Drosophila melanogaster: one gene and its partners. The protein of the gene in region 3 interacts with the protein of the main gene of each other region in a pairwise test. Each region holds a gene or a part of one and is shown on either strand. Other genes may lie near its edges.

The links.
Region 1: the proteins of frtz (region 3) and Rchy1 interact in a two-hybrid assay, tested with the Drosophila melanogaster proteins (one large-scale study listed by BioGRID).
Region 2: the proteins of frtz (region 3) and CG12620 interact in a two-hybrid assay, tested with the Drosophila melanogaster proteins (one large-scale study listed by BioGRID).

Annotation. Positions count from the first base shown.
Region 1 is NT_033779.5:6,459,553-6,467,281, forward strand, and holds the start of Rchy1 (ring finger and CHY zinc finger domain containing 1), read right to left. Parts: upstream 6,118-7,729; 5' UTR 5,977-6,117; intron 4,588-5,976; 5' UTR 4,292-4,587; coding exon 3,710-4,291; intron 1,165-3,709; coding exon 1,003-1,164; intron 930-1,002; coding exon 771-929; intron 443-770; coding exon 164-442; intron 96-163; coding exon 1-95. Other genes in the region: HemK1 (HemK methyltransferase 1), read right to left, coding at 6,972-7,212, 7,267-7,729.
Region 2 is NT_033779.5:17,086,094-17,089,773, reverse strand, and holds CG12620 (uncharacterized protein), read right to left. Parts: upstream 2,134-3,680; 5' UTR 2,050-2,133; coding exon 1,186-2,049; 3' UTR 588-1,185; downstream 1-587.
Region 3 is NT_033779.5:1,710,746-1,717,837, reverse strand, and holds frtz (fritz), read left to right. Parts: upstream 1-1,986; 5' UTR 1,987-2,281; coding exon 2,282-2,699; intron 2,700-3,364; coding exon 3,365-3,665; intron 3,666-3,720; coding exon 3,721-4,671; intron 4,672-4,729; coding exon 4,730-5,241; intron 5,242-5,295; coding exon 5,296-5,693; intron 5,694-5,750; coding exon 5,751-5,910; intron 5,911-5,970; coding exon 5,971-6,086; 3' UTR 6,087-6,536; downstream 6,537-7,092. Other genes in the region: Rim2 (replication in mitochondria 2), read left to right, coding at 23-240, 609-735; mRpL48 (mitochondrial ribosomal protein L48), read right to left, coding at 6,553-6,987. UniProt on the Drosophila melanogaster protein: Probable effector of the planar cell polarity signaling pathway which regulates the septin cytoskeleton in both ciliogenesis and collective cell movements. Functions cell autonomously to regulate wing cell hair polarity and number.

The DNA of each region.
Region 1 (7,729 bases), 4.7 Mb from region 3:
ACCAGGGACAGGCGGCGTTTAACATCCTGCGTTGTATTGTAGGCGCCGCAATGGACGCACTTTAGTCCGATGAAATGGAATTTGGTTTTTGAAGTCTGTAATGAATTGGATAAGGTTATAAGAGCTTTTCATGAATGTTAGTATTATGTATATCTAGTCGTACCTTGTGACAATCGTTGCAGAATATGTGCACTCGCTGATTCTCGTACTTCAGTGGCACCGGCATGCGCTCCGCCTGGTCGTCCAAGTATACCCACAGCGCCGTCATATCGATCAGCGAGGTCTGGCAGGTGGGACAGGTGTAGTGGCCGGAGGCCAGCAGCTGGTCGAAGCACATCTTGTGCAGCAGGTGTCCGCAGTCGGGAATGTGGCAGGGTATGCGCGAAGTGTGGATGTCGCCCAGGCACACGGGGCAGTGCGATCGCGAGATGTTCTCCACGCACTACGGGAAAATAGACACGTTGTCAATTAGCAAGGATTTAGCAATCAGCCATGCCAGTCTCTGGCCCAATTCGCTGTCAATTAATGAAGTCATTGCTTCAGCACATTTGACATTCATATCCACTCAACTGGATCCCAGATTGCAGATCGCAGATCATATATCGCTACATATAGCAATTAGGCAACCGGTTTTGGTAATGAATTGACAAAAAAAAAAAAAAGTTAATGTGTTTCTTTGATTTGCTTTCGAATCGCGGAGGTCAGCATTCCCACTTACAGGCCAAATCTTAATCAAGCCCAATGAAGTGCCAAATGTAGTACCAACTCACCCGGTGGCCATCGATCTTCAGCTGAATAGGTAGGCACATGTTGCACACCTCGCAGTGGAAGAAGTTCTCCGCACCGCCAATGCGACAAATCCCACATCCATGACAATGGTACTGCTGCTTGTCCGCATCATCGAAGAGGTTGCAGATCAGGCAGGTGTACTGTAAGTACATCAAAATGATATTACTAGTAGGGTTTTGCTGTGATTTTTGGACACCTGGATGGATATCTTACCTTACCAAATCTCACGCCGCAATTGAGGCACTGCTCCCGCACCGTTTGCCGCGTATTGCACTCGGAGCATATTAGTTCGGTGAGCGTTTTGCGATCGAAGTGATGCGTCTCGTTCTCGTCGTGGCAAAATCGGCACTTGTAGAACTTGTTGCAGCAGGGGGTCTGAGAAAGATATAGTTGCGTGATCAGTATCAGATCAAATTAGTGCTGAAAAGAAATCGCTGCTCGAAAAAATTCCACTTTAAATGGAGCTGAGATTGCTCCCCGCCACACCTGCCGATGGACTACACCCCTCAGTCAAGGACTACGAAAAACCTATTATCGAGCGGCAATTAGCACGACTCCTAACTCCCCAAATGGAGTTGCTAATTTAAGAAATCTGCCTGGAAACCGACTAAAAAACAAATCTACTAGTGACGTCTACATGCCAAAGGCAATAACTTAGCATTATCATAAACAAGGCACTTGAAACTGAATCGAATTTTGTACGAATTTCGAGTCAAATCAGCGGGTGAATCCCAATCCGATTGTAAAGATGCCAAAGGTACTCGTGTCGTTTAATTAGGTGGCTGCTAATTAGTTCACCTGTCGATGCACAGCTCGAACTACATGATATAGTTCTATCAGTTTTGTCTTGGGGATAAAGTTTGAAAATAAGTTAATTTATGCCCTTAATTATCTTGTGTATCCTCGAGTTCGGCTTAGTTACAGCCAACACCCAGCCATTTGTATCTGCCTCCAGCCTCGCGCACACATCTATCTCCACTATCTTTGAGAATTATTTATAACTTAACAACAGTTTTTTCGTATACAAGTATTTATTTCAACTCTGCTGCTGCTGCGATGATAACACTCGAAGTACAGAACCGAACCGGAGAAGAGTCTTCGAATCCGGTTTCTTTGTCATTCCCCCCGGCTTTCATTGCTGTGCTTCACTAACGATCGTATTTTAATGATCGTTTGCATCTGCAATTGGCTAACTCCAGACATCTCAAATTTATTTAGCCAAGACGAAACAAAGCTTCTAACACAAATTGATACAAGATTCGCGGGAACAGGCGATATCCATGGGGCATTGCTCCACTTGGGGGATTGCACATACTGCTCTCAGCTTATGTCCACATTCATGTATACATTTATTTCACGCACTGTCGGGCGAAAATAAATATTTGACTATAAAATAACCCAGCTGATTCAACACTCAATGGGCACCTCATTAGTGCACAAAACCCTCGCTTATCCGAATTTCTCGCGGTGCACAGACGAAAGCAAAAACCTCTACATTCGAATTTTATTAAAATGTGGGACAGATTGAAGCGTGTGTACGGATTTACGTGACATTTTTTGGAAAGTATTGTAAGGCCATAGCGCATAATACAGAATTTTTGGGGAATTAATAATTCATATCGCGAATTGGCTGCTTTTCAACAACAAATAAGCGCTCACTACTGTTGGAATTATAAGTATTTAAATATTTACATTTAACTTTCTTTTTCTTTATTTAATAATCCAGGTCATTCACAAACAAATCTATCTAATCAAGTGCAGCTGCAGTCTTCTCTGCATGAGATACTTTATACATGAAATGGTTACCACTTTCCCCAGCACTGAGTTACTTTTCCCACCTTCGAACTTCTGTACTTATCACCTTACGATAATTATGTCTGCTGGCTCTACTAATTGTTAAGGTAAAGAACCTGAATATAGCCGTGCTACGATTGCTTTATATGCACACACAACATTTTTAGATGCCCCATAATTTGTTATCCAAACGCGAGCGATCAAGACAAACGCATTGTTTGCCCAGATGAATGGCGAATGGAGGTGTTAACTGGCCAGTGGCCACTCGCCTCCTGCTCAGTTCCTGCTCAGCGGAGCATGCTGACCAGTTAGTTTTTTGGATGCCGGACATCGTCAAGCTGTCCACACAAGCCAAACACTTGCCGTGCAAATAGCGATGCCCTCCAATTGAATTCAAAATCTAGTCAGCAGACAGACACAAAAGAATCTTCGCCAAAGGTGTCTGTTTAGAGTTTAGCCACTTTATTTGTTTAGGAACGAATAAATAAAGGTTAAATGCGCCCATTTTCAGGAAGGTAGCTGTGTTGGATAGACACACACACACACATAGATAGATAGATGGATAAATAGGCATACAAATGCCATTTAGAGGCGCCATCATAATCTTCTTGAAAATTTTCCAAATGGGTGAAATGTTTAATGGCTTTATCACTTTGAATTTATTTCAATGTATTTTTAGGATTCATTTTATAAAAGTGAAATGACTGATCCGCTTTCTAATCATGACATAGGGGTTCCAATTGCATAATTCTTTATCTGATGACCCAGGAATTGAACTATACCCGTATAAAATAAAAAAAGAACTTTCAAAATTGAAGTTTGTTCTTATATCACATAAGTTGACTGGTTTCACATTTGAGGTTTGAATAAACTAATCTCACTACAAGTAAGACTGCTAGATACATGGATCCGTCTAGTCTTTCTACGAACATCTATCTACTAATCTTAAGAATGGTTATAGATACTACGATACACTAAAAAAGGATTAAAATTTGTATTGATATACATATCAAAGAAGTTCAAGTGTATAACTTTTATAACTTTTCTGGGGCTTTTCCTTTTATGTAATGCTTGGAAAAGCATCCATAGATAATATGAATGGAGTTGGACTGCCTGTTGCACTTACCACGAACATGGCCCGCCGCTTGTAGTGAGCGCATCCGAAGCGCAATGACTCCGGAGTTGTTGGCTGCGCACCGCAGATGTTGCTGCTGCACTTGTTGCTGTTGCAGCTGCCGTCGCTGCTGCTGCTGCTGCTGTTGCACGATGGCTGTGCATGCTGCTGAGCCTCCGCGGCGGGGTTACGTGAGCATGCTGCAAAGCGATGGAGCTGGTCCTCCTCCATGGGCTCCGCCATGCCATCGCAATTGAGACTCGGCGTCGATTTGCATCTTCGCAGCTTGGCGTGCGCTGGATGATACTTGCCCGTCATCGTTGTGGGCGTCACAATCAGCTGGTGTTGCTGGTGGAGATGGGGATTGGGATGGGGATGGGGATGGGTATGTGGCTGCTGCGCTATCTGAGCAAGTGGAAGCGAAGCGGGCAGAGCAGCCTCCGCTGAGGTCGTCGTGGCTGACGATGAATTTAAATTGACTTGATTGGGCTCCTTTGTATTGGTAACTATTTGTACATCGATGCCGCCGCTGCCCATGTATCTGTTGTGGTTTTCATTTAGCGATATTCGGCGCGTTCGCTGGCGGTTCTTCATTTTGCTGCAGGAGCTAACTCTATGTATATATAGAGTTATGTATGTACGTCTATAAAAGTGATTTTCCACTATGCCTCGCAGCTGCAGTAGTCGTGGTTAATTGCTGGCCCTTTCAATTGCCGCCGCGAAGCATTTAAATTACTGGCCGATGCTGTTGTCGTTGTGCCACATGTAGACTTTGTATCCGCACTCAAAAAACCGACTGTCCGGTTTCCCTTTTCACGCGATCGCAACTAACTTTCGTTTGTCCAGCTCATCCTTGGGTATTAATGGGCTCGCACAGGTGACACACTCGGCTGAAGCGATTGAAAAGTGTGGGAAAGTGGTAAGTATTCCATTAGCAGGCCATTTCTCACACTCCGATCGATCAGATTAGAGTCTAAGCCGGGTTAACCCCCCACACCCCCACACAATTTTTGACACACAAATGAAACTACCGAGGCGGCGTATTTGCATTTCAATGTTTCCCAGTCCCCGACTGCGAAAGGCCATCTAAACTAGATAACGACTATCTTGATTTTCACTCCGTTTTCTTAGCCGTCGCGCACTGTACACAACGTACAATGGGGAACAAGAAGTAGTAACTTTATGTAAGAAATTATCAAATAAAAGATCACCTATGATGACTTTCTTCCATTTCTGTATAGTTTTGGATCAGATATGGAAACCTATTAAACCCATATCATTATAAAATGACAATTAACCTGTTAAGAACCCAAATATGTGCATATGAACTACTATCTTGGCCGCTGCTGTTTTTGGATGGGACCTTGTGCCATGTGAGCGGCAGCATATAAATCGCTTGCTTAGCCTGCAGGTCGCCAAAAACGTTCACAGCTCCACGGATTGGGAATCGCAGTGCCTTGGCACACGGTGCGGATGATGAATTAAAATGCGGGCAGGGAGCAGCCAGCCACACACTTGTTAACACAATCGGCGTGCGACTTTCGCTCATCGGTTGGCTGTTGCTGCAAGTCGGTGTTGCACGTAGCAGGTGCACATATTGATGCTGCCAAAGGAGGCATTACCAGCTATATATAAATGTATATATGTACATACTTTTATATATACTTTTATTTGCACAGCGCGGCAAGCTGCAAATTCGTTGCCGAATCTTGTTTGCTCAGATTGTTATTCGCATTTTCTGCGCCGGGGAGCAGGGACCGACAATAAATATTGAAAGTGTGCTAAAATTACAAACGCAAGGCGATTAAGCCAGCCTCGCCGGAAAACCAGTCGGCGAAAAGAACGCAAGTTTGAACTCGATTCAATTCGGTATTCATGTTTACGCACGCACGCACTCACGCACACAGGCACACACTTGCACGCGTCGATCGGGCGGATAAATGCATTAAGTAATGTCACGATCTGGCTAATTGGTTTCTAAAAGTTTCCAATCCACATTCAAACCGCCTTCAAATCGCAGTTTGGGCGTATGTATATATATATACATGTACATATATATGCACATTCATTCATTTACCCAAATCTATATGGTCAAATTTATGTAGAATTTTTAAAATCAATTTCTCGTTTAACGTGTTTCTCGTTTTTGTTTTGTTTCGGCGCTTTTTAAGTTCCCTCTTCTTGACTTTCATCAAGCGCTCATTGTGATATCCACTGAAACTCCGACTTTAATTATGATTTAGCCATTTGTTAATTATACTACACATATGTATGCGTACTTGAAAGTGAAACAACACACACCAGCCGAACGAAGGAGATCGCAGCTCGAAATCGTCAATTGAATTAAAGAGCTACGACAATCTAAATCCGCGTTCCACTCGCGCACCCGGATTCCGCAGACTCGTCCGGCGCGAGTTTCGACTTCCAACTGGCAACGGAAGTTAGCCACTTGTTGCTCCGAGCCACTCTGTCGGAGCTTTTATCCGCTCCGGAGCTTAAAGCTCTCCAGCGGAGCGGTTACAACAAGATTCAGATGCGAAGTCGGGGGATTTATGCACTCGGGTTCATAATTATGGTAATCCTTGTGGACATGTGTCCTTGTTTTCATAATCAGTACACCTATAAGCATTAAAGTGGTAACTTTAAGCAAAAACTTTCTAATTTGCATAGAAATATTCTGATTCTATATATTGACAGGATACACATCTTTCAGGCCAAAAATATGGTTAGCATTTTGCTTATCGCAGATATAGAATACATCAGTTTGATTAAACAGCATTATACTCGATCCGCGATGATCATTAACACCCTCCAATTTATGGCAGCAAGCCTCTGGTTATAAATCATAATCGCCATAGTTTAAATCAGTGACCAGTTATTATAGGTGCATTATACTTTTAACCTATTGATCTTTAAAATCATGTTAATCCATTATTATAGGATCAAAAATGCAGTAGAAAGCCTTAGGTAAAAGTCGTTGTGGTTTTTGTATACTGATAATAATATGGTCATAAATCAAACAGCTAATTGCATTGTGCAATTTATACAGGTATATTTGTGAAGTAATACCGCCTGCGGTTGTTGCTAAAAGATTCAGAGACGAAACTTAAGGATTAATAGCGCTATATATTCTGTTTATATAGGTGTGAGTCTCTGGGCAGCGTGCAGGTATGTCTGGTCTTAAATCAAATCACAGCTAAATGCATGGGCAACGTTATAGCTAATTGCATTGTCAAAGTCATAGCATTCCGTCCTGTCTATGGCGCAATCTCGCCTAGACCTTCTCGATCTGAACGAATCTCTCGCGCTGATACTGGTCACTGTAGCCGGCGATGAACTTGAGCCGGCCCTCGTACTTCAGATTCATAATGGTCTTCACCATCGGCGGGTGGTCGTTGCCCAGTTCCAGCCAGAGCTTGCCACCGGGACGCAGGTGCCGACAAGCCAAGTCGAAAACCAGTCGAGCCACCCTCAATCCATCGGACCCACCGTCCAGGGCATTAAGGTTCTCATACCTGGGGATATAAGATAGTTAGTGCACTGCATCCATCTGGTATAACATCACTTACACCACGACTTCGGGATGCAGAAACTGAAACTCCTCAGTTTTCACATACGGAGGATTGGAGATGATCAAATCGTACTTCTTGTCCTTCAGCGCCTCCGGCAGGTACTTGTCCTCCTCCATGGTGTGGTTGTGTACCTCAAATCGATTCAGCAGCCCCAGCATTTTGGCATTCTCCGCAGCCAGAACGGTTGCCGCCTTGCTACGCTCAATGGCAGTGGCCACCACCTGCGGCAGACTGTGTAGCATGGACAAGGACATGGCGCCCGAGCCGCAGCCCACCTCCAAAAGATCGACGTGCTTTGCGTTCTTGTGATCATCGATCACCAGGCGCATAAACTCCTCCGTTTCGGGGCGTGGAATGAAGACCGACGGCGATGTCTTCAGCGTAATGTCCATGAAGTCCCACTCGCCAATGATGTGCTGCAACGGCATGCGGGCACAACGGGCCTCCAGGAAGCGCTCGA
Region 2 (3,680 bases), about 15 Mb from region 3:
AGAAAACAAGATACTGTGGCTCTTCGCCTATCCGATATCGAATATAATTGGAGAGTAATTGACTCGGTTTTCAAAAGTGTAGGCTGTAAATTGTTTTTTAGCTCATGGAGGTAAGAGAGTTACCGACGGACGTGGCAGTTTTTTCAAACAAAACTTGCACAATTCTTATCACTATACATATTTAACGTGTATACAAAAATTAAACAAAACAATGACCGGTATCGAAAGGGAAAACATGACCGACACAAAAAAGAAAACAAAAGAAAGAAATAGTATGTGTAAACTTCCGTAATTAAAATATTTTAAAAGAATCAAAAACATTTACACGCACAGGCTACAAAGCCATGTTGGCTTGCATAAATGAAAAAAATGGGTATGGATAATAAATGAAATATTGTAATGTAAGTTGAGCTCATACAGATCTGAAAACAAACAAAAGAATTGAAATCGGCACTTGCTTGACAATTATTGTGATGAATGAAAATACCATAATTCTTGTTTATGAATTGAACTAACTAAATATTAATTACATATTACAGAAAGTAAACTTAAAACCAATCCATATTATCCCTAAGAGTAATAATTTTATTAAATTAAAAGGCCAATACAAAATGGCTGTATTTTACGGAATTTCATCGCACACAAAGACTTTTGAAATAATTTCAGCACATTGTCCTTCTAGCTCCTTATTGTCTCATCTTCCTAGTATCCACCCACGCAAAAAAAAGCAAGGAGAAGAATGGAACCCGTTAGGCGTCATTATCGTGCACACTTAGTTATCCCTTTGAATGTCCTCCGTCCCTTCATGTGTGCGCTAGTGCGGGTTTTGTCCTTTATGGCCCAAATAATTGTGCGGTCTCCGGGTCGAGAAAACTATATTTTTAAAGCTGCGCTGGGGAAAGAGAGCGTTGATGGAGTCATTTGAGATCAGAGGCGATTACGGTTATTTGGTGTCTACATTAGCTTGTATGCATTTACGAATATGGGTTTATTTGACTTTACGATTAAAATAAAGCCTTATATAACTTCTGGAATATGAAGTAAAAACATTCGCAGCATTTGGGCTATACGGATTGGATTTTGATTTCCAGCCAACGAAACATTTTCTTAATTTAGGCAACACTAATCTAATGCACAATGAGAAATGGGATCCCATATACATCAATTGCATCAATCAATTTAAGTTTATAAATTTCGCGTTTTTTGACCAGTATGTTTTTTCACACTCGAACTTATGTTTTTCTGTATGGCGCTCAAATTCTTTAGGTCAATATTTTCGCCACGGTCAAGGACCCTAGTGTGTTTTTCTTCTTCTGGAGCTGTTTTATCAATGACTTCCGGAGCAGTTGGTGGTAGTACTGTTTCCGGTTCTGGTTCTGGTTCCGGTTCCGGTCGCGGTTCCACTGGCGGTTCCGGTTGCGGTTCCGGTTGCGGTTCTGGTTCCGCGGGAACGTACACTATCGGCGGATCAGGAGTCTGGCTTATAAGCTTATTATAGCAATGATGGGCGGGATGGAATCCGGGCTCGGGATCCTCCTTTGGCAGACTGTCGTCGGAAATCATCGATTGGTCTGTAGCCCGATCGTATTGGAAGTACGGAAGTAAGTCGTCGGAGTCTGTGCCGCAGGGCGGACACTCCTCTTCGGCGATCTCGGAGATATGTTCATCATCCACGCTTAGTTGACTCTCCGATGACTCTGTGAACTCCTCGCGGATCAGACGCCTGGCCAACTCGACCGTTGAGAACTCAGTGTAGTGCAGCTTTCGGCGTCGTACGAAGGATATGCGTCTGGCTCGCTCTTTGATAGTCTCCAGGAATTCGAAATCTTCGGAGTCGTCCGAGCTGCAGGATGGATCATGGGCGAAGAAGTCCGGCGTCGTGAGCTTCACCTCCTTATGCAGTTTTTCCATTAGCTCCTTATGAGACATGACCTTCTCGCCGGTTTCTCTTTTTATTGACGAGGCCGATTCATTTTCCACTTCATAGGGGTCCGAGTGAACGGGTACTCCCAGGTTCATTTTATCGAACCTTGTTCTTTTAGTCGTCATGGTTATAAGACAAAATGTGTTTGTTTTTTTTTTTTAGGTTCTACTTCTTATTTTTGGGATATATAAAATGTTTATACGTTTAAGTTTTATTTCTGCCCAGACTGAACTAGATGTGTTAGCTTTGATGTTTTAATCTATGTTAACTAGCTTAGCCTTATATCGGAAAAAATTCAGTAATTCATTTTAATCATGATCATTAGAAAAATAATATAATACTTCCAATGCAAATGCCTTAATATATTTGACGCTCTCATTTGCGTTTCGTTTTTTTCTTGTAAATTTACCCCACGACTTCGCTTAATCAAACCATATCGTGGACTTCAGTCTGGCTACCATGGCTACTACATTTTTTGATAACGGCCGCGATTTGCCTACGTTCCATAATTTGATGTCACATTTTTCCCACAACGCGGGTTAAGTGTTTAACCTCTGGTGCGAGTGGGCACAAAAAAAAGGGCGATATCTCGACAAAAGAAATTTGTTTGCGAGCCAATTTCGATTGTGTCAAAAGGACGGTTATTTATTGGACCGCAGGCGTCATTGTCTAGCCATCGATGGGAATAAATATGCCTGTGGCGTCTCACAAGGATGCATAAATTGTCAAAACGAGATTTCGACTTGCGATGAATTTAATTGGATTGCAAAAGTTTCTTCGCGTATCGCAAAACCGAAAATTGAGCTGTTGAAACGTGACGTTTCCACCAACTCAAACGGAACCGCAGCCAATATGCATACAATTAAACTGTATTTTCGGCATCTGGTTTTGGGATAAAAGCGCCTTTTATGGACACTCCATTTGACCCACATTCGAAGAAGGAATTCTGCCAAGAATAAAATGTTTATTTAGCATTTTATGCCAAAAGAGAGAGCGCTAAAATTATTTACGCAGCATCAGGCGTGTCATTTGCATGTGCCACGCCCCAGGCCCCCAGTCACAAAAAATTCAAGGCGATGAATCCCACAAAAATACGCTAAAAGTATTTACATTTGACTCGGAAAAATTATACATTTCCGTGCAAATAAAAAGCAAGTCCAAAGCATCTAGTCGGTGGGCGGGCAAAGGGGCGGACAGCATCGGAGGATGCCCGGAAATAAAACCAGAATCCGAACCAGAAAGCAGATTAGAGATCCTTGAGGAAGGCCACACGAACTCGAAATGCTCTAGGTGACGATTTCCCAAAAAAATATAAATTAAATTGGAAAAATTTCTTTAAGAAAAGCAATACATTGATTGACACATTTTATTTCTTAAATACAAGAAACTATATTAATATTCCAAAAAGTATGAAAGCAGATAAGTGGATTCATTTTGATAATGCCGATGAGATTAAATAAGGTATCGAGAATATCGAGGTGTTGCATTCAGTTCGTAATACTCAAGCCGCTCCTTCGATAAAGGACAACGGCAGGCGTGGCAAAAAAGCGCGTTGCAAAGAGGAAAAGCTTCAAATCCGCAAACAAACACTGTGACAGCTACAATGCGGGGAACTGAAAAGTGGGTGGCGCTGGGCAGAAAAACCCAGTCACCCGACCGAATGAAATGTACTCTCTATTGACATTTGATTCCAGCCTCACTTGGCTGGGAAATAAAAAATATATATGTGTATGTCAGGATGTGTACAAGTGCAGAG
Region 3 (7,092 bases):
TTAAAATCGCTTTCACAAACAGCTAGAGCAGCGAAATCAGCGGCATACGGACACCAAGGGATCCCGCGACTTTCTGGAGTTCATGATGGCTGGCGCTGTTTCCAAAACCATCGCCTCCTGCATCGCCTATCCCCACGAAGTGGCACGCACTCGTCTGCGGGAGGAGGGCAACAAATACAACTCCTTCTGGCAGACCCTGCACACTGTTTGGAAGGAGGAGGGCAGAGCAGGACTCTACAGGTGGGTAAAATAGATGAGCAGAGTGAATTTTCAATTTGATACGACATTAAGGCAATCAACTTGTACTTAGGGATTCCCTTGTTCGTGTAGTTCCCTTGAATCCGTCTTGAAATAGAATCGAAGGGAATCCCACTTGCACTCCGACATGTATATAAGAAACATATACATATAAGCTAATGAATTATCATAATGTGCCACCCACGAATTCGTGAAATCTATTTAAATTCTTTTGCGTCGCATATTTTTTGTTTGTTTACCTTAATTTGATTATCACTCTCGAGCGTGCTCACTCGAGGTGTTTTATATATGAGAGCTCTACCTTAGCAAATTCTCCTACTAATTGTAAACTTTACCAACTATTTCCACAGAGGCTTGGCCACGCAGCTGGTGCGACAGATTCCCAACACGGCGATCATGATGGCCACCTATGAGGCGGTCGTCTATGTGCTCACGCGGCGCTTCAACAACAAATCGAACGAGTTCTACGACTTTTAGATGCCTTTCAAAGGACTGGAGAAGGAGTAACCCAATCTGTGCATATGTAGACGCGACTGCTGCAACTTTATGTAATTTTATCCCTCGTTTTTAAACGATCCAAACCAACGAGCGCAAATTCTTAGTTAACTAGCTTCTAAGTCAGATATGAAACGAACTCGATAGACTTAAGACGTTAGACGTTGAACGTTGGCCAACCAATCGAAAAAAAAAAAGAAGCAAACAAAGAAAAAACCAATAATGGGAAACACGCACCAGGATCGAAGTGCACCATCCACACCCTAAACCCACTTGCTGCATGCCACAGAAGGATGTGGTATGCCACCGCAGGGCGAAACGTTATCAAAATTTGAAAAGGCTGCTATTTAGTTAAAGTTACAATATATATTGAGTGTATAAATGTGGTTGATACTTGGATAATATAGTGTACATAGGACTCGATTCGCTCAGAGTGCATTGTAAATAGTTAAAGAGTGAGTTCGCTGGCGTAGTTTTCTTAGTTGTAAGCACAAAATGTTGAATCGGCCGCAGTTGCCAGTAGATGCCGCTAAATATATATATATATAGATATAAAGCCGACCGATCCGATTCGTAAACTGTAAAAGTTTCCGTTAAGTTTCCTCAAATGCGATATACGATTTAGTTATCATTACTCTACTATATTACTTTAACTATATTGATACAATTTTTGCTGTTTATTTAGTCCATTAGTTAGCTAGTTAGTTAGTTATCCCCCCCCCCTCCACGCAAAACGTATTTCACTGATAATGAGCAAAGAACTAAGGAAACCACTGTGAATAATTGATTGCAATCCGATTTGATGGTGAAATCAATAAATACAACAATTTTGTTTAAAAATAACCCACTCGTTTCCCATTTAATATATATGTACATTATCTTATCTTAACAATCGTCTGCAGTCGAACATAGTTCATCTTGGCTAACCAGACTGCCGCCCATAAAAGTGAGATGAGATAAGCCGATTTGGCCAAGATAATACGATTTCGCACAACTAAATTAAAGTGATTTATTGGCTAGCTACTACACTGCGAAAGTAGTGGTAGCTTATTGTAAATATTTTATTTTTCTGAATTTCAAAAATTTAGATCCTGGTTCGGGTACGTGCTAAAAACATAGCATAGCCTGGTTCACAACCTATGTGCTCCATCGAAGATCTCCACCACGTGAGCGATCGCAGTTGTAGTCCATCTATATCACGCCACCACCACGCTCAGCGACGTAACAAAGTGCCGTCTCTAGTAACGTAAGCAGTGTTTCGAGCAACAAGTTTATTTTATTTTCATAAACAAAGTTTGTTTAAAGCGAAAAATCCTGGCCAAAGTGCTAATTCGTTGGCTATTCCGCGAGCAACCTTGATAACGAGTCGCAGAGCAGTCATAGAGCAGCGCAATTAACCCCGATACAAAGCAATCAGTGCAATTGGAGCAGCTTGAAAGGCACACGCCAACAAATCGAGATCGAGCTGATCGAGTCGCGTTGACACCCATCATTCCGCCATGCAAATCGATGCACTGGAGGCCTGAATATGCTGCTCAGCGAGACCCATTTCTGGACCACGTTGCGCGAGGATGTGGTGCGGATCAAGAGCCAGGACCTGGGCGCCTTTCGCTACCTCAGGCAGCGCGACAAGGAGCAGGAGCAGCAGGACCTCGCCTGCCTGGCCAAGCGAGACTATACGGAGCGTCGCAATGGACTGGCCGTGCTGAAGAACTCTGGTCGCAAGTCCACCGGCCGCTTGAAGGACAACCTCAAGAAGCTGGAGGACCTGCTGCGCCAGCACAGGATCATCCACTCCGAGTGGCAGGACGCGGCGCAGGTGCTGCTCCTCTTCTCACACGGCCTGATCGCCCACATCTGCGTGGACATCTACACGGGCGACATTCTGCGCATGGTCTTCGAGAAGTACCTGGTGGGCAAGCTCGCCTCCGAGGTCATTACGGATGGTATGTGCGATTCTCTCCTTTCACCCGCTCCAGCCCGCCCTCCATCGCATTAGAGCCATCCATCAATCAGCTTGGGCATTGCATTTCTGCATGTGCAGCTCGACTGGCAGACATCTCAACTTGCAGCGTTCGAAAATCAGTTAATATGCGTTAACATCACGCAATACATAATGGCTATTTCAGGCGTAATTAAAGGTTCCTCATCATTAGAACGAATTACCAAGACAGCTTGCTAGAAACACATGCATGCCATTTAATTATTCACTAAGCTCTCAGCTATAAAAGCTGTCCTGCATTTAGTTCTTTGTGCTGTTTGCCGCTTGTCATCCAGGGTATCAGTCATTCGATAGAGTGCAGTCCGCATTTGGCCTTGCTCCGCGGAGTGCTGCTTGTGCAGTTATGGAGAAATTTGCATTGGCAACAAGTGCGACTTGATTTGCACTTTCCCACACCAACACAGCCGCACGCACACATGCAGGGCATGCAATTATTGTAATTTTTAATTAATCTGCTGGCTTGTTTTGTTGCCTGTAAATATGCGAACCCCCAACCCCTTTCCCCCATCCACCATCCTCCGGCTTTCCATGTTTTGTTCGAGCCACTCATTCAGCTTTGTCGCTTGTGTCTCTTTTCTCGTCGTGCGCCCGCATCCGTTGTCTCGCCAGCTTTTTTCACCCGTTCCCACATCGTCTTGGCCTACAATACCAACCAGCTGACGGTGGTGCATCTGCAGAGGCCTAATGCTCGCTCCCAGGGACCGGAGAAGATCGCCAATATGGATCCGCGCATCTTCCACGTGATCATACCGGGCGCCACAGAGCGCAAACTATCCCGCCACCTCACAGTTAACGCCAGCTTCGATCTGTTCGTGGTTTGGACGCAGTCCTCGCAGAACGAGGTGTATCCCTGGAGGCCAACGATAAGGGACCAAGATCGTGCCAACATACATGTGTTCAAGATCAAGGGGTAAGTTGCACAGTACAACTCCCACTCCATGGCCCAGTCTAATCGCTTTGCTCAGCTTGCAGCTGGAATCGATTGCCTATTGCTGGTCGGAGAACGATCCGCTGTGCGTGGACTTCCTGCGAAGCAGCGAGAGCCAGATCATCACCCTGGAGCAGAAGGTTTCCCGCAAGGGCGACATAAGCGCAGAAATCTGCTCCTACGAACTGGCCGCCGGCAAGATGCAGCGCACCGCCATTACCTCCATTCCAATGGGCGCCCAGATCTGCTCCTTTGCCTTCAGCCCCGACCAGGAGAAGCTCTTCCTGGGCAGCGTCGATCGCAATATCTGCCTGCACGACCTGGTCCAGCAGTCGACAAAGTACGCCAACCAGATTGAGATCGTGCCCAATCAGTGCGCCTGGCACTGCGACTCCGCCATGCTTTGCGTGGCCAACGAGCGATCGGTGCTGCAGTGCTTCGACCTGGCGCTGGCCACCATTGGCCATCAGCTGGTTAGCGAGAATGTGACGCCGTCCAGCTTGCTGGATCTGTCGCACTACTTCGTGGCCCAGCCAACGCTGCTGAGTGTCGCCTTCAGCCGAAAGCCAGATTTGTCCACTTTTAAGCACACCTACGCCCAGACGGATTGCCTGCTGCTGCTGGTGTACGAACAGGGACCTTTGGCCTGCATGCGCATCTTTGGCGGCACCGGAATGCGCGGCGACATCCACAATTCCGGACTCACTGCGGACGTCATTGCGGACAAGTATCTGCGGCTGCAGCAGCCGGACAGAGCGGTCAATGTCCTGGCCGCCCTCAACTGGGAGACCTACGGAGCCATGTGCCTGATTACGCTGCACAAGATAGCCAACTATGTGTTCTTCGGCGGTGACCAGCGACGACCTCGCATCGAGCTGATGGCCAGAGCGTTGAAGACATTCGCCCACACGCTTTCCGAGGAGACGAAGGACGAGTTCAGCGATCAGGTGTACGATCTGAAGCGCCGCTTCTGCTTCTATCTGCTGCGGTGAGTTGAGCTCGTGTGAACATGCCACTTTTATGCTCAATCCTTTCGTTGCTTGCAGCAAAAACCTCTTCGCTGAGGCCTTCGAAATCGCCCAGGATGTGGCCGACTATGACATCTTCATGGACCTGTACAACCTAACCAAGTGCATCTCAAGCCTGAGTGAGTTCGCCCAGGTGGCCTTCAGTCAGGCAGCTGCCATAATCCACGAGGAAGATCGCGCCAACGGCAATCTCAGCCTGACCTGTGACCTGCGCTCGGAGTCGGCCTGTTCGCTGTCCACCTGCTCGGACATGTTGCGCGGTCAGGGAGCAGGAACTGCCCCCGAAACCGGACTAGGCGCAAGTCAGCCACAAAGCCAGCAGGTCCTGAAGAACTATGTGCCACCGCTGCCCTCGTTCAAGTCGAAGGTATTCAACGCTGAGATGATCAAGATCAACATACCGAAACCGGAACTGAGGCCGCCCTTGCCGAAGGTTTCAATAGCGCCGCCAACATCTTCGCTGGCGAGTCTAACCCTGAAGTCCAACAGTAGTCTGCAGCAGGCGCCCGCAAAGAGTCTGCATCCAAATGGTTCGTGTGAAGAAAATTCCCTTCATAACTTAAATAATTTATCCATTATTTCAGGCAATTTGTGGTCCCAGGACGTGCCGGATCAGACGGTGGGTCTGCCTATGGCTAGTAGTCCACTTCCTCGTCTTCCGCCTTCAAACATTCCAGATCAGAGCGCCCAGCTGGGTCAGTTCAGCACGATGCCAGCTTCGCCTCCGCCGACAGGGTCCTATCAGCCCAAGTTTTATCAACATCCGCTTGTCTCTGGCAATATTCCCGCCATGCTGCCATCGCTCACCAGCGAGGACTACCAGAAGCGCCTGCTGCAAAAGAAACCCACCGCATCCATATTGTCCAACCCGGCGAATCCAGCACCCACCAACGGAGAAGCACCCGCCACGCCCGCAAAGTCACAAACGGCCGAAAAGAACAAAGTCAAGTTCTCGGATACAATTCAAGTGGCGGTGGTGCCAGTGAGTTAACAAATCAATCGATGATGTGACAGTTTACTAATGCTCTTACTCGAACAGGAAATTCCTCGCAAGGAAAAGCCAATGCCACCCAAGAGAAATGGTTACTCCAGGCCCGCTGCGCGACATCTGACAAATCCTAAAAAGGAGCTCGCAGACAGCCTGCCGCTCTGTCATCCGAACGACGAGTATCTAAAGGATTTCAACCCCATTACGACCAGTGGGTATTTGTTGAGTTCACCAATAACCTTGCCCCATTGACCGTGTCATTTCTTCGCAGATGTGACTAAGCCGCCCATCCGACGACGCGAGGAAGAACCCAAGAGCAGCAGCAAGGGCGGCAACTCCTCCTCCTCCTCGTCGTCCATCAAGGTGGTCCACTTCGGCGTGGTCTAATAATTCATAGTGCAATTCCCAGGCGTACACCACACAACGGTTAAGCGCTGCGTCTTCCAATCGTTTGTAACTATTGTAGTAGGCTGCTCCTTCTACCCTCTTCCTTTACTCTTAGTCATACATACCTAATTATACATAGCCAATCTAGTCATAAGCTTATACACTCATACACCCATCCTTAACATACAAATATTATCGAGAAACTTATCGACTAATCGACTCGCCACTCTGCAGAGAGCGCGGCAGTCAGTCGCTGTTGAACCAAGCTAAAGGACAGATCAAAAATAAAAGAGACACGTGAAATTGTATTAGAATATTAACTTCTGTAAACGGCGGCTAAACTATTGCCGTCCCAGTTAGTGCAAAGCTTTAAATAGGAAAGTTTTACTCATAGGTTCTCTATACTCTTTACACAGGTTACTCATTAAAGCTAAGCATTAAATGTTTGCCAAATCGGAGGCGCCGCCTACTTCTTCCTGGTGGTGGTGGGTCCGCCCATGCGCTCCAGCTCGTCCTTCAGGTCGAGCAGCTCCTTGTCGGGCACGTAGCGCCGCTCCTCGCAGTCGTCGGTGTACTCCTGCACCTGCAAGCTCACACCCTCGGGCAGCGCCGCCTGGGCCAGGCGCAAGAACTGCGGATAGACTGGCGCATCCACATTGTTCAGCTGCAGGTTGCGCTCGTAGGTGGTCAGCTTGTACTCCGATTCGATGACCGTGGAGTTGGGCCGCAGTCGCTGCACCGTGGTCTTTTGCGGAGGGAGGGCGTAGCAGTCGGAGACGTCCAAGTCCAGGTACTCGGCCAATCCGTGCAGAAACCTCTGGTAGCTCTCCAGCTGCGGGTAGTCGTAGCCCTTGATCTGCACATTCAGGCTCTCGTACTGCGGGAATTTCGGCTTGAGGGACTGCAAACGGAGAACAATGGTTACTGACCACCAAAATAATTGCTCATCTAGTCTGATCTGATTGAAATCTGTCTACAAGATTATGCTACTATGCTCAAAGCAAGT